Linked DNA regions of Arabidopsis thaliana. The protein of the gene in region 4 interacts with the protein of the main gene of each other region in a pairwise test. Each region holds a gene or a part of one and is shown on either strand. Other genes may lie near its edges.

Region 1 (6,483 bases), on a different chromosome or scaffold from region 4:
CCCATCTTCGTTCTTAGTCCATGACTTGCAAGATTTGCATCCACAATCTGACCATCGATTCACTGACTCTTGATGAATCTTAGATTTTCTCAGTTTCCGGGAAAGCTTGGATTTGAATTCTCTCGCGAATCCCAGAAACCACATTCCCCGGAAAATGTTTCTCCTCCCGAATAAAGTCTCCGACGACAACTCATTTTCGTCGGTGGTTTGACTTTGAGGAGCCGCCGCCGTGCAGTAACAACCTGTTGAGTTTTCTTCCAAAATCTCATCGACGAACTCGTAAACGACACAGAGAATCGCGTCGAGGAGGTCCAAGAAAAAGAAGACGATAAAAGATAGAGCGGCGTGAATCGCTGTCCCGAATTTTCTCGGGAAAGACATAGAAGCGGAGAGAATCTAGACCGTGGGAGAAATTGAGATGAGTGGTTAAGCCACGTCGCATGAGAGAAGTTTCGAATTTATTACCAAAGTTTAGATGCATGCACTACAATTATGTTATATGTTTTTTTTCTTTTGGTCGGAAAATCTTACGGATATGTTACTATTAAGTAAAAAGGCCCGAAGGCTTTCCCAGGCCCAAAATAGGGGAGCCTGATTTACCCGCAGATATCATAAACGACGTCGTTCTAAATCTTGCCTCTCGTTCTAAATCTTGCCTCTAACGACGTGTTTTCGGTTTTGCTTATAACTCTCCTTTTGGAGCTTGCTGATATATCTTCAATCTTTAATATTTTGCATTACTTTCTCAATTCTTTACTGCCTCACCAAGTAACGATCTCTTTTCATTCACAACATGTTTCATCACTTTGTGTTACGTTTATATTCACAACATTCTGTCTGTATATATATTTGTGTTGTTTCTTTTAATCAAGGCGAGACCAAAGCTTATTCACATTATGGAACTTCAAATTCAACAGCGAAAGCAAGCTGTGAAGGACATTAAGATGTTTGTGTGCATTAACTTTATTATATTAATGGTATCAGTATCATCCATCCAAGATTCTTCAAAAGCTTGTTGTGGTAACGTTTGATGTATTATAGCAATGTTGATTTTGTTGTGTGCAGGAGGAGAGAAGAAACACAGCGACTTCTAAAGGATGCCGTCGGTAAAGATGGAGAATAAAGTTTCTACACATTGTGTATATAGAAGTTGAATTAAAGAAATACAAAAATCGTATGGTAATATTACTCCGAAAAAATGTTATGCTACATGGTCATTTATCTCCTTTACCAGTGGGATCAGAGTTGGTGATATGAGGATTTCTCTGGTGTCGTTGAGAAGTTAAACGCCGTTCCAAGGGAGTTTTCCTCTTGCTGACAACAAACCTATTCACTCCTTTCCTCATCGGCATTATCGACGGGAAATCTTCGTCTGGGATCTCACTCAGCTCTGATATGTTCTTAATCTCAGCCACTCTCTTAAACCATCTCTCTGCTTTTGCTTCCTCTGACATGTCCAACAAGTCTGACTCCTTCACTAACGAACCCTCCAAGCTCTTTCCATTTCTGATCTTCACTGCCACTGTATCAGATTTGTTGATTGAAGGTTCTCTTGGTTCTTGTTGTACTACCTGAGAAACGTTTTCTGTCGCCGGAGCTGGAAGAGTATCTATTGATTCCTTGGGTTGTTTCTCTTTGGCGAAGTAGTCAGGTGGGAAAGGGACAAAGGGGACAAAGTCTGAATCTTCTGGCCTCTTGTATGCTGGAGAAGTCAGTGAACGGTCTTTCTTCCTACTCACTACAAACCGATTCTCTCCTTTTCGCATAGGCATTTTCTCAGGAGAAATCTCTTGCGGTATTGCGCTTTCCAAGTCTGAAACATTGTGCAGTTCGGTGACCCGTTTGAACCACCTCGCAGGTTCCTCTGATTTGTGATCTTCCTTTTCAAGGCGATCTGTTTCTTTGCCAGAGTGATTTGCATCTGACTTGTCCTCTTGATAGACATTTTGATTGCCGCCTGAGAAACCATCCACTTGGATGTTGTCAATCAGACCTATCTGTGTTTCCTCCTTAGGTTTCTTGGCAAACATATCCGAAGGTAATGGCACGAAAGGAACAAAATCGGTGTTTATTCCCTGAGAAGATTCAAACCTTCTGGAAGATACATTCTTGTCATCAGAACGAGAAGTCAAAGAGGATGAAGAACCAAGAATCTCATTCAAGCTCCTAGTTGTTTTACTTCCCAAAGCATTATCGTCGCTCCTTTTCGAGTTTCCATCTGTAGCTACTCTGTTCTCAGTATTAGCCAACCTTCTCTCAAGAGGTGGCTTCCTCGTGCTAACAACATATCTATTCACTCCTTTCCTCAAAGGCATAATCTCTGGGAAATCTTCATCTGTATCAACACTGTTCGCATCAGAACCACCCTGTGCTACTTTACTAAGCCACCTCTGTGCTTTCTTTTCGTTTTCGACCAGTCTTCTCTCAAGTTCAGGGTCACTTGAATAATCAGAGTTGGCTGAATTGAGTGAAGAGTCCCTGGGTCGCTTGCAGTCACATCTTAAGCAAGCTACATTCCTCCCGTAATTATAGAAATCACATCTGATAAGTGAAACAACCAAGAAAGAAAGGAAAGGTTAACCTCATCATTCCTCATCGCATTAGTCATAAAGTAGCAGAGAGAAAAAATCAGTTTCTTACTGAGGACACTCCCATTCACTACCAGTAAGCTGTCTCTTTGGTCTTGCTTCATCACACTGGAAGCATTTGACATTTCTCGCAAAGTTCATGCCACTGCACCTGTTTCAACAAATTCCCACATCATATATATAGATTCCCTAAACGACAAGATGATGAAACAAAGACAATTACACCATACTGACTTCTTAGCTCTAAAAATAAGATCTTTCGACCACAATACTAGTGTAATAGTCAGAAGTATACTTGTTCAAGCTCAGATCCAGAAGATTTTTTTTTATGGTATCCTTATATCTAGGCCTACTTATATCTTTCCATAGAAGAATGGTAACCAAAAGGCCATAGGAGATTTACACCAAAAAGCTACTGAGAATCCAACAAATTCATACCTCGAGCAAATCCAGTCACCACGTTTCATCTCAACGTTATTCTGAAAAGACCTGACTCCTTGTCCATCTCTATCTGAGTACTGATTTTGCATCGTGTCATGAACATTCGACTCAGGAGGACGCAAGCTCATCTTCGCTATCTGACTCAAGAGGCTTCGAACCGATGACTCCATAATCTCTTTGTTATGTTGTTTGCTCTCCTCAGAAGAAGCAACATCCACAACATAACTCAAAATAAGCCTCATCAAATCAACTGTACTCGCCTTCTCCATATCCATCAACTAATGTAAAACACAAAAGATCATAACTTTGAGGCACAAATCACCATTGAACCAAGTTTAGACATAACCTAGCATTCACCAATAAAAGACTAAGCATTTGCCAGAAGATAGAACTTACCTTACCAATGCCCTGAAGACCACTTCTTAGGTAAAGGCTCATCCTTTTAAGTGAATCTGGACCTGTCTTGAATAAAAATGGCTTTCCATTCTCCACCAGCACTTCAACGTCTCTCCTCGAAAGCATTCTAATAAACACTAACATCATCAGATATTCAGATTGAGAATCAATCCAAAAAGAGAAAGAGAAAAAATTGCAGATTACTTACTCAAGCAGTTCTGGTCGTTCACGAGCTAGAGCTAAGCAAGCAAGAGCTGGACGGAGAAGTTCATCAGGAAAACCGGGAAAGAATTCACTTTCTAAACCAGAAATCGAACCGGAATCTGAGAAGTAACCAGCTTTGGAGAGAGATTGGAGTAGCTCTGTCCATTCAGGTAGCTGCTGGTTGTGATAAGAAGGAACAAAATCTGCGGCGGAGACACGGACTTGGTGATTGTAGAATCGTCCTATAGGAAACGTGGGGATAAGCGGCGGCAATGACACGAGTGGACGGAAAGAACATAGATTGGTTGAGGCAACGGACGAAGGAGGAAACGCACGGCGGTGGAAACGGCGGAGATTGGCTATGCGGCTGATGTAGAGACCACGGAGTAGAAAGAGAGGAGGAGGATGAGGAGAGAAGAGGGAGATGAGTCTGGTGGAGTTGTTCATCGTTGCTCGTCGTCACTGGTTTTATTTTTACCGGCGAGAATTATTTCAGTGATGTTTAAGGAAAAAAAAAGGATTAATAAATCGCAAAATAATTGCAAAATGAAGAAAAAAATAAGCCCATATTGGCTAACATAGGCCCATAATTCTGTGTGCTACTACTTGGGCTTGCCATTATGAATGTTTGGTAACTTTGGTAAATAATGTATTTCATTCAAATGGGATGTCTCTTAAAGAAAAAGTAAATGGTTTCGTACTAATAATGGAATTAACCCAAGTAACGAACTGATAGTAATCTAATCTAAGAGATGTTTTAAAGATAAGCGTAAGTTTTATGTTGAAATCTTCAGTTTATACAATATAAAAAGGAGTTTGCAGATTCGGTATTTATCAAATTGCACGTCGATTTGACATCAATTTTCGTGACTTGAAAAGTTGAAGTGTACATTGTACAATGTCATACGCATGCATACATTTCTTTTGACTTAAAGCCGCTATAACTTTAAAAGATTTATAGTCATACATTTCTCCGTTATTGAATTTTCACTTACTTAACAAACCTCGATTATAGTTATACTTCTACATATGTTCGTAATAAGTGATGTTTACTTGTTTAGAGATTTCAATTCACATACGTTATTTAATTTCTAACTTTTGTTTTTCTTAAATTAATAAGTTTATATGTTACAACTTACAACTTTCGAAAATAATAGATGATATAGACTATTTTTACATATACTATAGAAAAAAGCTATGTCAAGGATCTAAAATAGTTATATTTATTATGTATTAGTACTTCTTGGTTTCAGAACTTATACAATTACAATATATAATAAAACCTAAGAAATAAAAATTAACTAAAAAATAATACGTTATGAATATAGTTTTATATAAACGAAAGAAACGAAAATTAAAACATCAGTGGAACTAAAAAGGAGAGAATAATATTTGTGTTCTCTTGAACGTGGGAGTCACTGTGAGTTAAAGTTGGGTGTGGATTAGTTGCCGATCACTGCCGTCAACTTTTGACTAATGTTTATTCTGATTAACACTTTTACATACACTAAGCTATTTATAATGTAATAACTAATTTCTTTGTTTAGATCTATGTGGAGTAAAATATTGGTGAGTACGTAGACAATTAACTGCCTTGATAATGACTTCAATCTAAGTCCGTAAGGTATAACCTCATTAATTCCCCTAGAAATGTATTTTATCATAATTAATTACTATTTATACTTTGATGTGACATGTTTAGTTCTATGCCACAAGTGCAATGGACGGGCTAACAACTTTGACATGATTTGTAATTAAAATTCAATTTTAATAAAGAGACTTTATGTCATTACATCATGAGATAAAGCCCTAAATTCCTCAAATTAGTTAAAGTGTCTTCTTTAAAACTAATCAAGAAGTTTTAAAGAAACTTTTTCTATGTTAATGTAATTAGTGTGACTTATCTCATGAATCATGATTATCCGAACATTATTTTAGCGCTTGGAGTTTCGAAGTTACCTTTTCTCGCCACCTTTTGTTTTCTGGGTCTATTGAAAGATTGTCTCAAATTTTAAAAGGATAAGAAAAACACAATTCCATTAACTTTAATCGTACAAGTGAGAGTGTTAGAAATTGTGGTTAAACAATGATCAATAACCACTAACCATTTCGTAAAATTCACCGACGACTTTATCAAATGACGAACATGATCCGATGGATCCACGAACTACCGAAAGAGAAGTAACCTCAGAACTATGTAGAAAAAGCAATCCTATTATTCATTCGAACTAATTCAATATGCAGCTAGTTTTTTGGTCTAACGACTTCTTATCGTACCATTTTTCATCTCTTATCATTTTTACCATATTCAACCATACCACCATTTTTATCACTATTTTGTACAGTTACAAAGCTCTTACCGTCTTGCGCTATTAATCGGACCATTAAACAACTTCACATAAAATTTTATATTAGACGTTTGAATTTAAGTCGAAGTTTTGATAATCTTAAATGTAACCCCTAAAATACAGTCGATAGTATTTGATGAAACAACTCCCTCATTAAAAATCGATTACTTTTATAAAATAGCTGTAAAATAAATGGCAACCCAAACGAAACAAAAAATATCTATCCCCCGAAACATATTACATATACTCCACATCTTTCATATATGTTTGTTTATCGGTATGTCTTTAATATTATCTCTTCTTACCCCAAAATTATACAACAATCTTTCAAATTACAGACCACTTTCATGGTCGTTGGAAAAAAATAATTCTTCCATAGTCGAGAATATGATTTGCAAAAATGTTATTAAATAATAATCATTCAAAGTATCTTAATAAAAAAACAAAAGAAAAGTGGAATTGGTCCATAACGGTTCGGGGAACTTTTCTATGAACCGGAAACTGAA
Region 2 (5,536 bases), on a different chromosome or scaffold from region 4:
TTCTCAAGGGTTTTGCATCAGCAGATGGAGTTCTTCTCTAGTAATCCTAGTGTTGATACTCTCAATCGTGTTAGAGGAGAAGTCAGTGAGGTATAATTGTTTCTTCGTATGATCTCTAGATATTACTCAGCTATATCCATTGAAAAGGTTGAATTTTTATGAGTTATTACGCCTTCTTGGCTCACACAGGCTTCTTTAAATCTGTCTTGGGTGAAAGATGAAGTTTGTTATCTCATTGTTGTGTTATCGTGTTTACAGATTCGATCGGTCATGGTAGAGAACATTGAGAAGATAATGGAAAGAGGTGATAGGATTGAGCTTCTTGTTGATAAAACAGCAACAATGCAAGATAGCTCGTTTCACTTCAGGAAGCAATCTAAGCGCCTTCGCCGAGCTCTTTGGATGAAAAATGCTAAGCTCCTGTAAGGATCTCTCTCACTTCTAGATTCTCTTCATTCCTTTTCTTTGCTAACTAAGAGATACGCTCTTCTACATTCTAGGTGTTTCAACTCGCCTTTGCAGCATAGTTTATTGATATGTTTCTTAAACTAGAGATACAGTAGTTCTAAGATTCAACATTATTTTCGATTTTGGGAAATTCTCCTCGACAAAATATCTAATTTTTGGCTGATAGGAACTACACTGCCTTGATTCCACCTCTGCTTAAAGAAATTTCATTATTGTTTTGTTTTGATGCTTGAGTTCCAGATCACTTTTATTAATCAACAAAACTGCTTTTCTTGTTTGTGTTCGGCAGGGTCTTGTTGACATGCTTGATAGTTTTCTTGCTGTACATAATAATCGCATCTTTCTGCGGAGGAATCACTTTACCATCATGCAGATCTTAAAATCTGGCGGCCTTATCTAAGGTATACTGAAACGGACCACTGTTTTTGTAAATCAACTCAGTCGCATCATTTCGATTTGAAGCCTTGGTTTTGTCATGAAAATGACTGTGAGTTTGAAGTTACATGTCATGGTCCTCCTTGCTTATGTAACTCTTGTAAATGTCAAAATCAAAATGATACAGAGGTTCATTGAACTCTTGCCTTGTCTTTTAGATTTAGTCACGTGAGTGAGTTTGTTCTCTGTATTTCCAAAACTTTATCCGCTGTGTCTTTATAATTTTTGCATTTGCAATGTACATCACATATTCGTTATTTTTGTTGTTAAAATTACTTCAGTTTTCATCTTTGTTTAATAACATTTCTGATTCACAAATATCTGTTTCCATCATTTCTGTCTATGTTTTCATTAACTAAATCATATTAGTTGCTACTACCTTTTTAGCAAGTTTGTCATAACTTGTTACGACTTTATATATGTCATCGATACAGTTTAATCCTGCCTGTACTGATGAACACAGTATGAATATAACCAGAATGCTTAGCACTTGTAGTTGGAAATAAACTCTTACATCCAAAAAATTACGAGAAACAATAGAGTGAAATAAACAGCTACATAGTTGTCTTAGCTGTATTGATAGTCGGGCACTACACATGCATCGGAACAAATGTATCCAGTATATGGATCACAAAGCTTTAGAATGATAGGAGCTCTGCATCTGGAGTGACATTTTGCACAGAAGGGGCGAGAACTATAGCTGTTAAGAACCACTTCAACTCTAACATTATTGTAGTTGATGATGCGTCCTGGCATGAGACGTGAAAAGTCTCCAAGCACACATTCAATATGTGCAGTAACCACACATTTAGAGCAAGTGTAGAACCACTTACTTGGATCTGTTTCCGCCTCGCAAATATCACACCAATATTTTCCGGTTGCATTTTCGCCATAGCATAGGGAAAGAGGATGATTGTCGCAGCTGTGCTTTACCGTTTTTGGTAAATCAGTACAGTGTAAATCCAGATCAAAGTCACAAGTGTCACAGGAAAGCAGATAACCATCTATCTCTTTATAACATGCATCACAACAGTGATCTTTCTTATGTTCGTAATATAGAGGATGTCTGTGACCATCATGAATGACCGGTTCAGAACGCGAACCACAACGTACATCTAGAACCCACCAATCAGAAACGTACCTGAAACCAGTAGACTTCGTTCTACAAGCATAGCAGCGAAAGACATCGTAGAATCTAAAATCTTTGCTATGGAATGTACGAGGTGGTCTGGACCATAGTGTGAATGGTTTTGTGTGGAATACATGTCGTTTCTTTTTTGGATGATTAGCGCATTTCTCATGGAGAATGAAACGACATTCCTCACAGTTGTAGATCGGATCGGAATAGATAGGAAGGACGCATGCTTCACAACGTGAGCCTTCGTCACGATTGATATTGTCCTTGTTGAGTCTTAGATTATGTTCTTCATGACTGAAATGCTTGATCAAGTTATCACCCACCACTTTGAACGGCACAATATCTTCGTCATCATCATCTGGTGTCCCTTCGAGTTCTACCCCATCCCATACGTCTTTTCTTGTTGCACATAGTGAATGAGCTGCATAGTTCGGGCAACGAGGGCATAAATAAGCCCCATGGTATTGACTTATATCTTTGCGACAAATACCGCATCTCGAGTACCCAACACCGAGATGATGGGTGAAAGAGATGCGATGATCGTGACGGTTGATGTTTATGACACGTGGTAAGTCAATACAAGTTCTATGGACAACAAACCCGCATTGAACACACATGTAAGGACTTCGATCACCTTGCATCCCACAAGCATTACATTCAAATGAGATGAGTCTTGATAAGAGGACAAGTCGATGCTCGTGCGTCTTATGATGCTCGATAGCAAGTGGTGGTGGATCTTTTGTACAGAATCGACATACGCTGAAGTTGCATATCGAGCAGCGATAAAGCACTTTGTCTGGTCGTTCTCCACATAAAAGACATGTCTCTTCAGCATCACTTGTTAGTGATTCATATTCAAGTAACTTGAGAGAATGTTGAGGATGAGAAGGATGATTCACCTCTTGGGAAAGATTGACACACTCGACATGAAAGTGGACTTCACATTCAAGACATGCATAAGAACATCCACCATTATAGCCCTTGCAAATTCCGCATCTGCGCCTACCCGGCTTTGCGGGTTCTTTCAAGAAGATAACTGGATGATGATGAGACTTTGGATGTTCGATAGAAACCGGCAATGGATTTATCCCACAAGTGAGATCCACGATGAAGTCACATTTTGATGAACAACGATAACCAAAAGCGAAAAAAGTCTTGCCACATAGATTACATTTACATGGGTTCCTTAGAGAATTGTGGAGTTTAAGAGTGTGTTGAGGATGAGAAGGATGGTTGATAATCTCCGGTGGAGCCTCTGCGCACTCTTTGTGGAAGAACAAACTAGTAGAGGAAGGCTCGTTGCAACGGTAGCCGCCATAGATGGGACCTTTTATATTGCAACCTTTACAAGAATCATTAACAAAACGAGTCGAAATGGTCAAAGGATATTTGTGAGTTGGTAGTATTTTGGGTGGTAGATCCATTTTGTGATTCAAATGCGGTTTGTTTTCTGGAGATCTCAAGATAATACTACATCATATGAATGCATCTTTGTAACCCCAATATAACAAAGACACGTAATGTGTGAACACCTTAACGATTCTTGTCTCCAATGAATCATGTGCAATCGATCCTGTTTTCCACGAGATGATTATAATATATAGTTGAATTATTTCATATTCCTAACTGTTTACAACCTGCACACATTAAATTATCTTATCATCGTTATAGCTACCTATGAATATAATAGTATGAAAATACCCAATAAATTAATTTCCTAAACTCAACATCTAACGTGTTAACAACAGCTAAGATATATAATTATATTGAATCATTTCTGCAATTTCATATTCTCTATCGTGACACTCGGAGTCTTGAGATCGCTAGATTTCTTTGAATACTATGATTGGTAAAGTCGTGTGTAAAAAAGTTAGACCGAGACAAAACGAGGCACAGGAAGAACAATAACAGTTGGGCTTTTTCCAGATAAGGCTTCACCTTTTAACAATCAAATTCTACATATTGGGCCTACGAAGAGGTTCATAAGATTTGAATAGACAATTAGAAAAACAGCAATTATGTGACAAATAGTGTTTTATTCTAATTTTGGATGACTATCGGTGAAATTTTAATTTTAATCATCATATAACAAAACAAAATTCCAAAACTTCAAATTCTAAAATCAAAATTTTTAAAATACCATACAATTTCTTTTTTTTTAAACAATTGTATGTTTTGTATTGACAAAATTAGTTTTATTGATTAGCAAAAAATTCGTTTAAGACCTTAAATTTGTCCTTTGTTAATTGTTATACCAAATTTTAGCGTAAAGACAATCTCTTGAAGGAGAAAAGGAAAACAATCTCTCTTTCTGTGACCTTTCGCAACTTGTCAAAGCACCACGACCTTCTCTCTACGGAGTTGAGATCAATCCCCCCAAATCTCGGTGTGGTTCCTCTAGGGTTTTTGATCGGAATCGGAATCGATAATCTAACCGGCATGAGGCCAATCCTATTGCCGGATCCACCCAGTCTATCTACCGGCGTCCCTGATATTTTCGAACAAGGCGGTTCCCATAACGTCGTCAGACGCGCCGTCGTCATCGGAAACGGTTTCCCTGGCTCCGAGAATCAGTGTATCGGTCTCGTTCGTGCGCTCGGCTTATCTGATAATCACCTTCTCTACGTGAGTTTCTTTGATCTAGGCTCTAGACGTTTTTAGCATCTGCTTAGTGCTTTCATTTCGTCGACTATAAACCATTGATACTATACTCGAAATTCTCGTCAGTTTTTGCTAGGCGCATGATGTAGTTGAGAGATTGATGATTGCTTTTGGATAGGAGTTTCTTTTACTTTGTTGTTTCGTCGTGTGTTCTAGGTTTTTAGCTTGTTAGGTCTCAGTCTAAGTAGGAGTGGAAATTTCATATTGTTTAGTACTTCTTTAGAGTGTATGAATGTTCAGAGAAGGAGGAACTATTTGAATTTTTATGGAAACAATGAATTGGTAAATATGTAAATTTGCCAATATCTCAAGTTCTGCAAATTTAGGGTAAACAGTGGAAGGTTCTTGGGGTGTCATAACTACCTATATTGTCAGTTTTATTTATAATTTTTTTTGGTAAATCTTAAAGAGAATTGAATCATTGGTGGAGCATGATGCTGGTGCAATTACTGAATTTCGTTTACAAGGAACACTGGTAGTGGAGTCTTTAATGCTTCTTTTAGATCAGTTTGGATGCATATAAGGCTGTTTTGCTGTGTCTGGTTTCTCTAGCTTCTTGATCATTCATAGACTCGACATTCACGTAAATTTACATTTAACATGATTTTTGGTTAGCTGAGATTATCTCTTTTTCTTTATGCAAGCGAGTGACAAGGCCTAAAGGAGGACTAAATGAGTGGCTGCACTGGCTCCCAGTTGGTTTTCACAAGAAGTTGGACTTTATCCTCAGGCATATTTACCTCTACTCCAGATTGATGCTTGGATCCAAACAAAGTAAATACATCTCATCTGTACCCTCAGAGAATGGTGGTAATGTAGGTTTGGCCTCTATTC
Region 3 (4,169 bases), on a different chromosome or scaffold from region 4:
TTTTCATGAAAACCCCTATTTTTACCTAACATTAACAAATAAATAAAAATGGAATGGAATATGTGGTCCAGAACAAGAAGTGTATATCGAAATGATTTACTTAAATACCTTTAACTATTACTCCAATCCTATTAAAATTAAAGTCCATCAGCTATGATTTACAGGAGTGGACATTCTGATATTTTATCTAATTCGATAAATGTTGCGGTTCATTCCAAATTTGTACCTATTTAAAGGTAAAATATCTATATAGTCTTATCGAATTTTGGAGCTAAGATTATTTTTAATTCCTAAAAACATATGTTTAGTGAGCTAGTTAGTAAATGAATCTAATTTTTTTGTTGGTTAACAGAAAATATCACATACTTACATAGTGATTTCAAATACTAATAAATTGTTTCATACTATATGCGTATATCCTATATGGACTGACTGGTCAGACATATTGAACGGAGTGGAGTCTTTATTCACATAACCTAAAAATAACTTTTTTTGATATGCATGTGTATCTATAGGCCAAATATATTTTAGTTCTACCACAGAAGTTAAAATAAATTGTATTAGTAATATATTTAGTCCTTTGAAAGTGGGAAACGAAATTAGCCTCACACAAGCACAGTGATGATTGATTTCTTCTTCTTTTTTTTACCCAAAAAAATCCATTTTTTCTTGTAATTTCTTATTTCCAGATTATTTTCTTCATAACAAAAAAAAAAGAAAAGAAATTGCTCACTTCACTTCTCACTAGATTCTTTATAACGAAACCTCCACTACACGGGCCCTAAATTTGGGCCACATGGGCTTCTCTCTTAACGAATTACGCACGAGTAAACTTCATTTTTCCAACAAGAAGAAGAAACTCAGGGGAATCTAAAGATTGTTTACTTTAATTTAAGAAATATGGAGAAATCATAATAAATTAATTACGTACTACTTATAGTAAATTTGTTGAATTACATAAATTCATAATTCAAATTTTACAAATACTTTTAATATCCTGTGTTATTTTAACAAAGCTGGTCTGGCTCTTAAGTTCTCATCCCAAGGACCATGGGATGTTTTGCTTTTTTTTTCTTTTGCTTGTTGGATGAGTATGTGAACCTTTTTATGGATACAGGACGAATCCCATTGTTTTATTTACATTCTACATTATTCGTTTATACGCTTCTATTAACCTTTGATTTTTAAAACTCTTCTCTACCTATCAATTTGTAATCGGATGATCCCTCTAACCTCACTTCTGTCTCATGCACTGACTTTAATTGTTTCGTAATTTACAATGTAGGATTTATAGATTTTTTTGGCAAATGAAAAACAGAGTGTTTACATCATGTATTACGTATATGAATCATACACTAAATCCAACATATATATGTAGAATTGCTAATTAATCTTTTTGTTGATTAATTACTTCAAAGTATCAGTAGACAAGAAACTAAACATAACAGTGTCTCTTACACTTCCCTTGATACATATAAACTTCCTCATCACACCTTCTCTAGTAAACCCAACTTTTTCAAGAACCCTTTGAGATCCAACATTGTCCACATCAACAAGTGCCTCAAGCCTTTCAATCTCTGGAAATTCCTCGAATACCTCCGCGGTCACTAGCCTCACTGCTTCCGTGGCAAACCCTTTTCCCCAATACTTTCTCGCTAGGACATAACCAATCTCTTTTCTGATGTTATCAACCGCCATGATCAAGATGTAGCCGATTGGACGGTCGTCTTCTAAGCAGATGGCTCGGAGCCAAGGGTGTGTCAGGACACGATCGGTTATGTATTTGATAGCTTCGTCTCGGCTCGTGCAAGGCTCCCAAGTGCAAAATCGAGCCACTTTAGGATCTGTGGCCCAAACCATGTAGTCATCGACGTCGGAAAGAGTCATCGGCCGGAGAGATATTCTTCCCGGAGGCGAAGAGCTCATTATTGGATTAGTTTCTTCTGAGTCCATCTCCATTTAGGATTAGTGATTGTTTTAGATATCATATCACTACGTCTAAGCGATGTCTTTATACACATCGCGATCTTGAAAAACTTTGAGATTCTCCCTTATTGCTTTTGACTAAAAAAACACTAAATATTACCATTTGCTATAGATAAGTGTATTTAGTGTTAAATATACGACATAAGATGAGGTGTCATCGTGTGAGTGGATAATTGTCTATATTTGACCTTGGACTTTCGACACTTACTTGGTTGCCAAACAAAGTATTGTTCTGGTTTCGGAACTTAATGTGTTGCTTCCAGTTGGATGCCCACAATGCCACGTGTCAAATCGTGTGTGGTCTGATTCCCAAAAAGGATTTAACTGTTTCTCAAGTTATTCTAAATGGATTAAATATTTTAATACTGTTAATATTTGTGGTGCAAATGATCGTAATCGTTTGTTATATACTGTCAAAATCAACTCAAGAATCAAGTCACTCAACATGTTGTATGATTAAGTAATTTAGCTAAAGATTAATTAATCGAATGTTATCAGAATTCCATTCATCTATCGCTGTAAAACTAGCTATCACACTATCTTTTTATTGTATAAAATATTTCATGTTTAGATTCAAAAAGAAAATATATATATATATATCATGTTTCATTTTGTACTTTTAATTTTCAATATAAACTTACATTTTTTCTGAGATAGTGAAGCTTTGTTTTATTTGGTGAAGTGAACATGGTAAATAGTAAATACATTACTCTCAAATTATAAAAAATAACTTTTGTATGAAATAGTTAATATATAAGGTTACAACTAACAATTACATAAGAAGAAGAAAGATAGAGCATCACATCAAATTATACATGTGATTTTTACAAACTAAGCAAAATATAAATTTCGACATCAAACAAACTTAATATATATATTTGATATTTGTTAATTCAAATCAGATCAGTGCAACGAATCAGAAGGCAAGAAACTAAACATGACCATATCTCTAACATTTCCTTTAAGATACATAAATTTCCTCATCACACCTTCTTTCACAAACCCAACTTTTTCAAGAACCTTTTGAGATCCAACATTGTCAACGTCAACAAGTGCCTCAAGCCTCTGCATCTCTGGCTTCTCCTTGAATATCTCCCCCGCCACAAGCCTCACCGCTTCAGTGGCGATCCCTTTCCCCCAATACTTGCTTCCGAGGACATAACCAATCTCTCCTCTGATCTCATCGACTGGCGTTACGGAGATCGAGCCAATCGGACGGTCGTTATCTAAGCATATAGCTCTAAGCCAAGGGTGTGGCAAAAGAGCGTCGTTTAAGTACGCGATCGCGGCTTCTCGGCTAGTGTAAGGCTCCCACGTGCAAAAGCGTGTGACGTTTGAGTCAGTGGCCCAAACCATGAAATCGTCGACGTCGGAAAGAGTCATTGGCCGGAGATGGATTTTCTCCGGAGGTGAGGAACTCACGGTGGATAGGGTCTCCGGTTTGATCGTAGTAGTTGAGTCCATCTCCATTGACTTTTTCTTGGTTACTTTCCTTTTTGAGTCTTTGAAGCTTCTTTGGGATTCTTTAAAATAAATTATCTCTCTCAATTCTTACAGATTTGTGTAGAGGCATTATGATAATACTTCTTCTACAAATCACGATTTAAATACTGATTTTTTTTTAACAAAAAAGAAAATAAACAGAACGTTCCTTCTTGCTTCGATCGGTCAAATACGCAACAATTAGTTCTTGTTGAATGGAAGGTGTGAAAAAGACGGTTTATAATGGGTATGGGTGAACCGTATATTTACCATCCATTCATCGTTTTTGATTTAAAAGAGGTATATTCAATCTAGTATTTAAAGTGACTTTCGTAAATTTTACAAGTATATGTTATTTAATTATGGATTTTGAAAATTCTAATGAAATCTAGTGTTATTAAAATAATAATTTAAAAATCTACCTTTAAATTCACTGTTATTAAAAATAATTTATGGATTTGATTTTTATAAGAATGTATTCAATCTAATATTTTAAGTGATTTGTGTAAAATTTATAAATTCTATGTTGTTCGATTATGGATTTGAAAAACTTTAATGAAATCTAGTATTATTGAACTAAAGATTTAAAATTCTATCTTAAAATCTATTGTTATTGAAAATAATTGGTAGATTTGATTCTTATTAATTTTGAAGGATTTGAGAAAGTTCTTTAGTTAAAAATAACAAAATCGAAATTCATG
Region 4 (4,705 bases):
CTTCCAATATCGAGTAGCGACCGCTTCTCTCTAATAACCTTTACATGATAACAGATTTTGTATGATTATTTAGTTTCTGAATTGTTAAAACATCATAATCAGAACTTTATAATTATCATTCCAAAGTCAAAATGATTATTAATATTTAAACAAGCAATTGGGTGTATAAGGACGAAATAAATATACACTTGATGTTGATTACTTGCATTTAGTAGCGTAAATAATGATTTTGTAATAGTATAAAGCCAACTTCGTCCGAATGTCTCCCACTAATCTCGGCACAATCACGGTCTACGGATTATTTCGTTCTTTTGAACATAGCTATATATTACTTTAAAAATGTTTGGTTAATAGATTATACTCTGTACTTCAAAAAAGAAACTAGATACGCTATATGTACTTTATCACACATCCTACAATTATTTGAGTTGGTCGTACTTTTACTATATGTAGTTTTCTTTGATTTATTCGTATAAAGAACTTATAAAAATTTTGCACAAAAAAAAAAAGAACTTATAAAATAAAAGATGCTCAATTTTAATATTGGTTGTCTAGTCAAAGTTTTAAAATTTATTCATATTTTGACCATGTAAACAAATAAGCTTTGATTAGTGAGGTTATGTAAACAATATATACAGATTAATTTTGCCCCCAAAAAAAAAATATAGATCATATGAGAAAAAATGAATCACAAGAATTTACCGCATATATGGCAACAAAATTCATTAGAACTTCAGAGTTTTATTTATTTATTTGGAACTTCAGAGTAAGCAACTTTAGTTTAGGAATTCTTAGCAAAAAAACTTTAGTTTTTAGGAATAAATATATGGAAGTGAAGACACAAACATGCAAGAAAAGAAAACAACTTGTAATGAATTTGCAAATAATGGAGACATCAATGTCTTAAAGTTGATTCTGGTTAAGACATAATTTGATATGCATGATAAATAAGATGGCTTAAATCGGTTAGTATGTTCAGGTGTCCAAATATTAAATCTACTTTGGTCGACGTTTTGGCATGTCTGGCTCAGTTTCCGCGAGAAGACATACAAATGATTCAATCTTTCATGAACGAAACAAAATTTTTCCACCGAACATACTAATGTTTTTCACTTCCTAGATGAAAATAGTTAATGATTTAACTGGTGTGGGAGCTCGTATAATGGTATGAATGAAACCGTAATGTAATGAACAACCTCATTTAATATAACAACAAAGTTTTTCATCAATTTCTATCAACTGTCTCCAACTTATCTTCTGTATGTCTAACAATAGAAAAATAACAATAAAGATATAATCTCCTTAATCCTTTTAGAGTCTTAAGGTAAGATCAGGCTTTGAGCTATTATTATCTACACCTCCATTTGCCGCAACCGAGTTCAAATCAAGGCCTGACTCAGTACTAGCCACCACAACCACCGGAGCCTCAGCTTCCTCAACCACCTGACGGAAGCTGCCGGGCCAGAAGAAGTCGCTACCACCATCGTCATAGTCAAAGAACAACGGCACGGTGTTACCAAAATACCCTTGATGATGAAACCTAGAAACAAGAGGCTGAGGCTGAGATAAGGTGTGATGAAGTAAACCGGAGTGAGCTTGCATCCCAAGGGAAGAAGAAGTGTATGTGTAAGGCCTGTGATGGTGACCAAACATTCTTCCCATGTGCATTGCTCGTTTGGCCATTGTTCTTTCTCGCTTGTGTGCGTTCTGGTGACCTCCAAGAGCTTGAGAGCTATAGAACTTGCGTCTGCAGTAGTTGCAAGAGAAGACTCTTGGGTTTGCTTCACACTTTGTGCTCTTTGTGTCATCGTTGAAAGTATCGTTGAGCTTGAGATCGAGTGAAACATGGTTTGATTCTGGTTTGGACAGATCTTGATTTGACGAGGCTTCTCCTCCTCTGCTGGCTGGTGTTTCTCGTGAGGCATCATCAGATTCCGTCATTTATTCCAAGTTTTGGTCTTAACCTGAAATCATAATTAAGTCAAAGCAGAACAACAAAACTTGTCGAATCTATAAATCTAAGATATTGAGCAAAGAAGCAAGTAAAGACTTATACAGAGTTAACAACTTGGTTCAAGACCTAAAAACAAAGTTCTTGAATTCGGACAAGAATCAGCAAGTCCGTAGCATAAAGAAGACCAATCTAAATGAAGCTTTAAAGTTTTAATCCAAGGAAGTAGTAAGGATAATATAAACAAGAATCGAAGATCAGAGAGAGAGAGAGACAGAGAGAGATAAGAAGTTTGGAGGGTACTGTGCTTACGAGATCTGGGAAGAGACAGCCGACAGAAGCTGAAGTAGTTGACTTGGAAGCTATGAAGAGGAAGAAGAATCTAAATAAGAAAAGTGGTACTCTATGTGTTTACCAGAAATGGGTCAATTCACATGTAGAGAAAATAAAGACAGATAGAAGAGATAGGATTGGTGAAGAAGAGCATAAGAATAAGAGGTACTGAGAGAGAGAGAGAGAGAGAGAGAGAGAGAGAGTTATGTTTAAACAAATGTGGAAACGCAAATGTTGGAGAGATGGAGATGGTGTCTGGTGAAACACATGGGAGAATAAAAGTGTCTGCCAGTTAGACTTTTAGACCTCTGTTTTTTTCTCTATAGTTCAACGATTTTTTTAGGGGCACTTAGCCAAATAGTAGTATTATTTTTTCTAAATTAATCAAGTAAAGTACTCTGCTTTTTCTTAAATATATATAGAAATAGAACCAAGAAATATTTTGAATTACTTTATTACAGTGTTCGTAAAGATGTAGCCGTATAGGCGTTGGTATGCACGTCTTCGAAAGTAGTGTTTATTATACGTTCATTGTGATGTGCTATAGATAAACTTTGTCGCATCAATAAGTTTTGAAAACATTTCGAAGTTGTTGAATAGTCATGATTTGTTGAAAAGATTTGAATTAGATGTGTGAAAATTGAAATCTGTATATAAGAAAAAAGAAAGCAGATAAACAAATTGTATGTTTTATAGTTAGAAAAACAAACATAATATTGTTGAATTATTTATAGCACTCGTCAGAGTTCTTCATTTAATTTGGATATTTTCATGAACATTTAATAATTGAACTCGGCCACTTATATAGTAGGAAAAAACGAATAGAGAGCAACGAATTTGATAATGTTGCATGGAGCCCATACATTCATTCCCCCGGCTTTACCTTTACTTTTGGATGTGGACATTTCTTGCTGTGTTTTTTCTGATATATCACATGTGATTTTAAAGTCTCTGCTTTCTTTGTCTCATTTCTATCTAACTTTTCTTTTTTTTGCAAAGTTTTTGTTAAAAAAAACTTTTTTCCGATACTGTCTCTGTGTGGTATGTTACCAAATCACTCGTGCGGTGAAAAATAAGGTGTTATGTTTTTCTTGTTCTATGAAAACGTTGTTAGTAATCAATTTTTTTTATTACTAGTCGCTAAATTTTGTCATAATCACTAAACTTTGTTACCAAAACTACTAGAGTGAACCGAGTAACCAACGACTGTAAAACAAACCAAAGTTAATCGTTGCCATTAATTGCTAACAACTACAAAACGAAAAAGAAAAATATCGTTGGTCATTGTTGTTGTTGCTAGCAGCTATAAAACGTACGTGACCAATGATATTTTCCGTTGTTTTACCATCGGATGAGTCTTCATAGAGGGGTTTGTGTGTGTGGAACAATTCAAGCCAGGGCAAAATCAATCTTGGGATCGTGGCAAAAGACAAAGAGATAATGGTGTCTCCATATTTTATCTTTTTTTGTCTTTAATTCGTTGAGTGATTATGACATCTGCCCACTTTTGTTCCATTTCCATCCCAACTTGTCTGTGGGCCTTTGTGCCCACTTCAATTCATTAGCTTTCCCAATCACATTTCACAAATGATTGTTCCATCGTTTCTATGTTGCTGGTTGGTATTTTTAAGATTTTGTAAAAACTTTTTTCCTTGGGTAACAAGAAGTTGAACAATCAAATAATTTTAGTAAAAACATTAGTGGACAAATGCCACTATGAAAATGGAGCTTAAAATTGGTTGTATCCACACCATAAAGTAGTAGTGACTAGTGAGTTTCAACTGAGTCTTATACTGTTGATTCGTAGTTCAATGTGGTCAATTAATTATTTAGAGCAGTTTTCGGTAGAATTATGCAAAACTCATTACTGAAATCAGCATCCAAATAAGCTATTTTGAAATCTCATTACTTACCAAAATTCTTTTCATCAAATTCTCACCAAAATTTGCTAGACATTCTAAAATGACTTGATGCAATCATCAATGTTTTCTATAGTACAAACTAAGAAGTTGTTGCGCTACGAAGTAAAAGTTAGGTTATATATTTTGGTTATAGTTCGCTTATAATTTTGGACTTAGTTTTCCGAATATATTTATGTCTTTCGCGGGCTTAGTTTTTGAAAAAGTTTCGACTCTATTGGTCTTAATTGAGGGATAAAATTCTTTCTTGTACGATTTTAATTTTTGGTCGAATATCTCATATATACCGTATGAGGTCAAAAACTCAGCCCTCATGTGAGCAGCTAGCTACGTGATCAAGGAGCTGCGTAAAAAACACTTCCATGAGTTGCTTTTCTTGATGGAAACGATGCATTCAAGAGATGATTTGGTTGATATTCAAAGCTGGCTGGAATATGACCAAGTATATACAGTTGAGCCGGTTGGAAAATGTGGAGGTTTAGCTTTGCTTTGGAAGAGTAGT

Evidence for each region.
Region 1: the proteins of ZFP7 (region 4) and VAR3 interact in a two-hybrid assay, tested with the Arabidopsis thaliana proteins (one large-scale study listed by BioGRID).
Region 2: the proteins of ZFP7 (region 4) and AT5G22355 interact in a two-hybrid assay, tested with the Arabidopsis thaliana proteins (one large-scale study listed by BioGRID).
Region 3: the proteins of ZFP7 (region 4) and AT2G32020 interact in a two-hybrid assay, tested with the Arabidopsis thaliana proteins (one large-scale study listed by BioGRID).

Annotation. Positions count from the first base shown.
Region 1 is NC_003076.8:5,868,596-5,875,078, forward strand, and holds VAR3 (zinc finger (Ran-binding) family protein), read right to left. Parts: upstream 4,188-6,483; 5' UTR 4,077-4,187; coding exon 3,634-4,076; intron 3,553-3,633; coding exon 3,426-3,552; intron 3,308-3,425; coding exon 3,027-3,307; intron 2,740-3,026; coding exon 2,641-2,739; intron 2,542-2,640; coding exon 1,215-2,541; 3' UTR 1,101-1,214; downstream 1-1,100. Other genes in the region: AT5G17780 (alpha/beta-Hydrolases superfamily protein), read right to left, coding at 1-381. UniProt on the Arabidopsis thaliana protein: Probable component of some protein complex required for chloroplast and palisade cell development. Involved in C-to-U editing of chloroplastic RNA. Controls a large number of chloroplastic editing sites.
Region 2 is NC_003076.8:7,399,691-7,405,226, reverse strand, and holds AT5G22355 (Cysteine/Histidine-rich C1 domain family protein), read right to left. Parts: upstream 3,521-5,536; 5' UTR 3,466-3,520; coding exon 1,471-3,465; 3' UTR 1,255-1,470; downstream 1-1,254. Other genes in the region: VAMP714 (vesicle-associated membrane protein 714), read left to right, coding at 1-90, 259-422, 758-848; ELM1 (fission ELM1-like protein (DUF1022)), read left to right, coding at 4,481-4,666, 5,347-5,536.
Region 3 is NC_003071.7:13,629,786-13,633,954, forward strand, and holds AT2G32020 (Acyl-CoA N-acyltransferases (NAT) superfamily protein), read right to left. Parts: upstream 2,145-4,169; 5' UTR 1,960-2,144; coding exon 1,408-1,959; 3' UTR 1,195-1,407; downstream 1-1,194. Other genes in the region: AT2G32030 (Acyl-CoA N-acyltransferases (NAT) superfamily protein), read right to left, coding at 2,890-3,456.
Region 4 is NC_003070.9:8,724,698-8,729,402, forward strand, and holds ZFP7 (zinc finger protein 7), read right to left. Parts: upstream 2,516-4,705; 5' UTR 2,264-2,515; intron 1,965-2,263; 5' UTR 1,942-1,964; coding exon 1,312-1,941; 3' UTR 1,092-1,311; downstream 1-1,091. UniProt on the Arabidopsis thaliana protein: Acts as a negative regulator of abscisic acid (ABA) signaling during germination and early seedling development.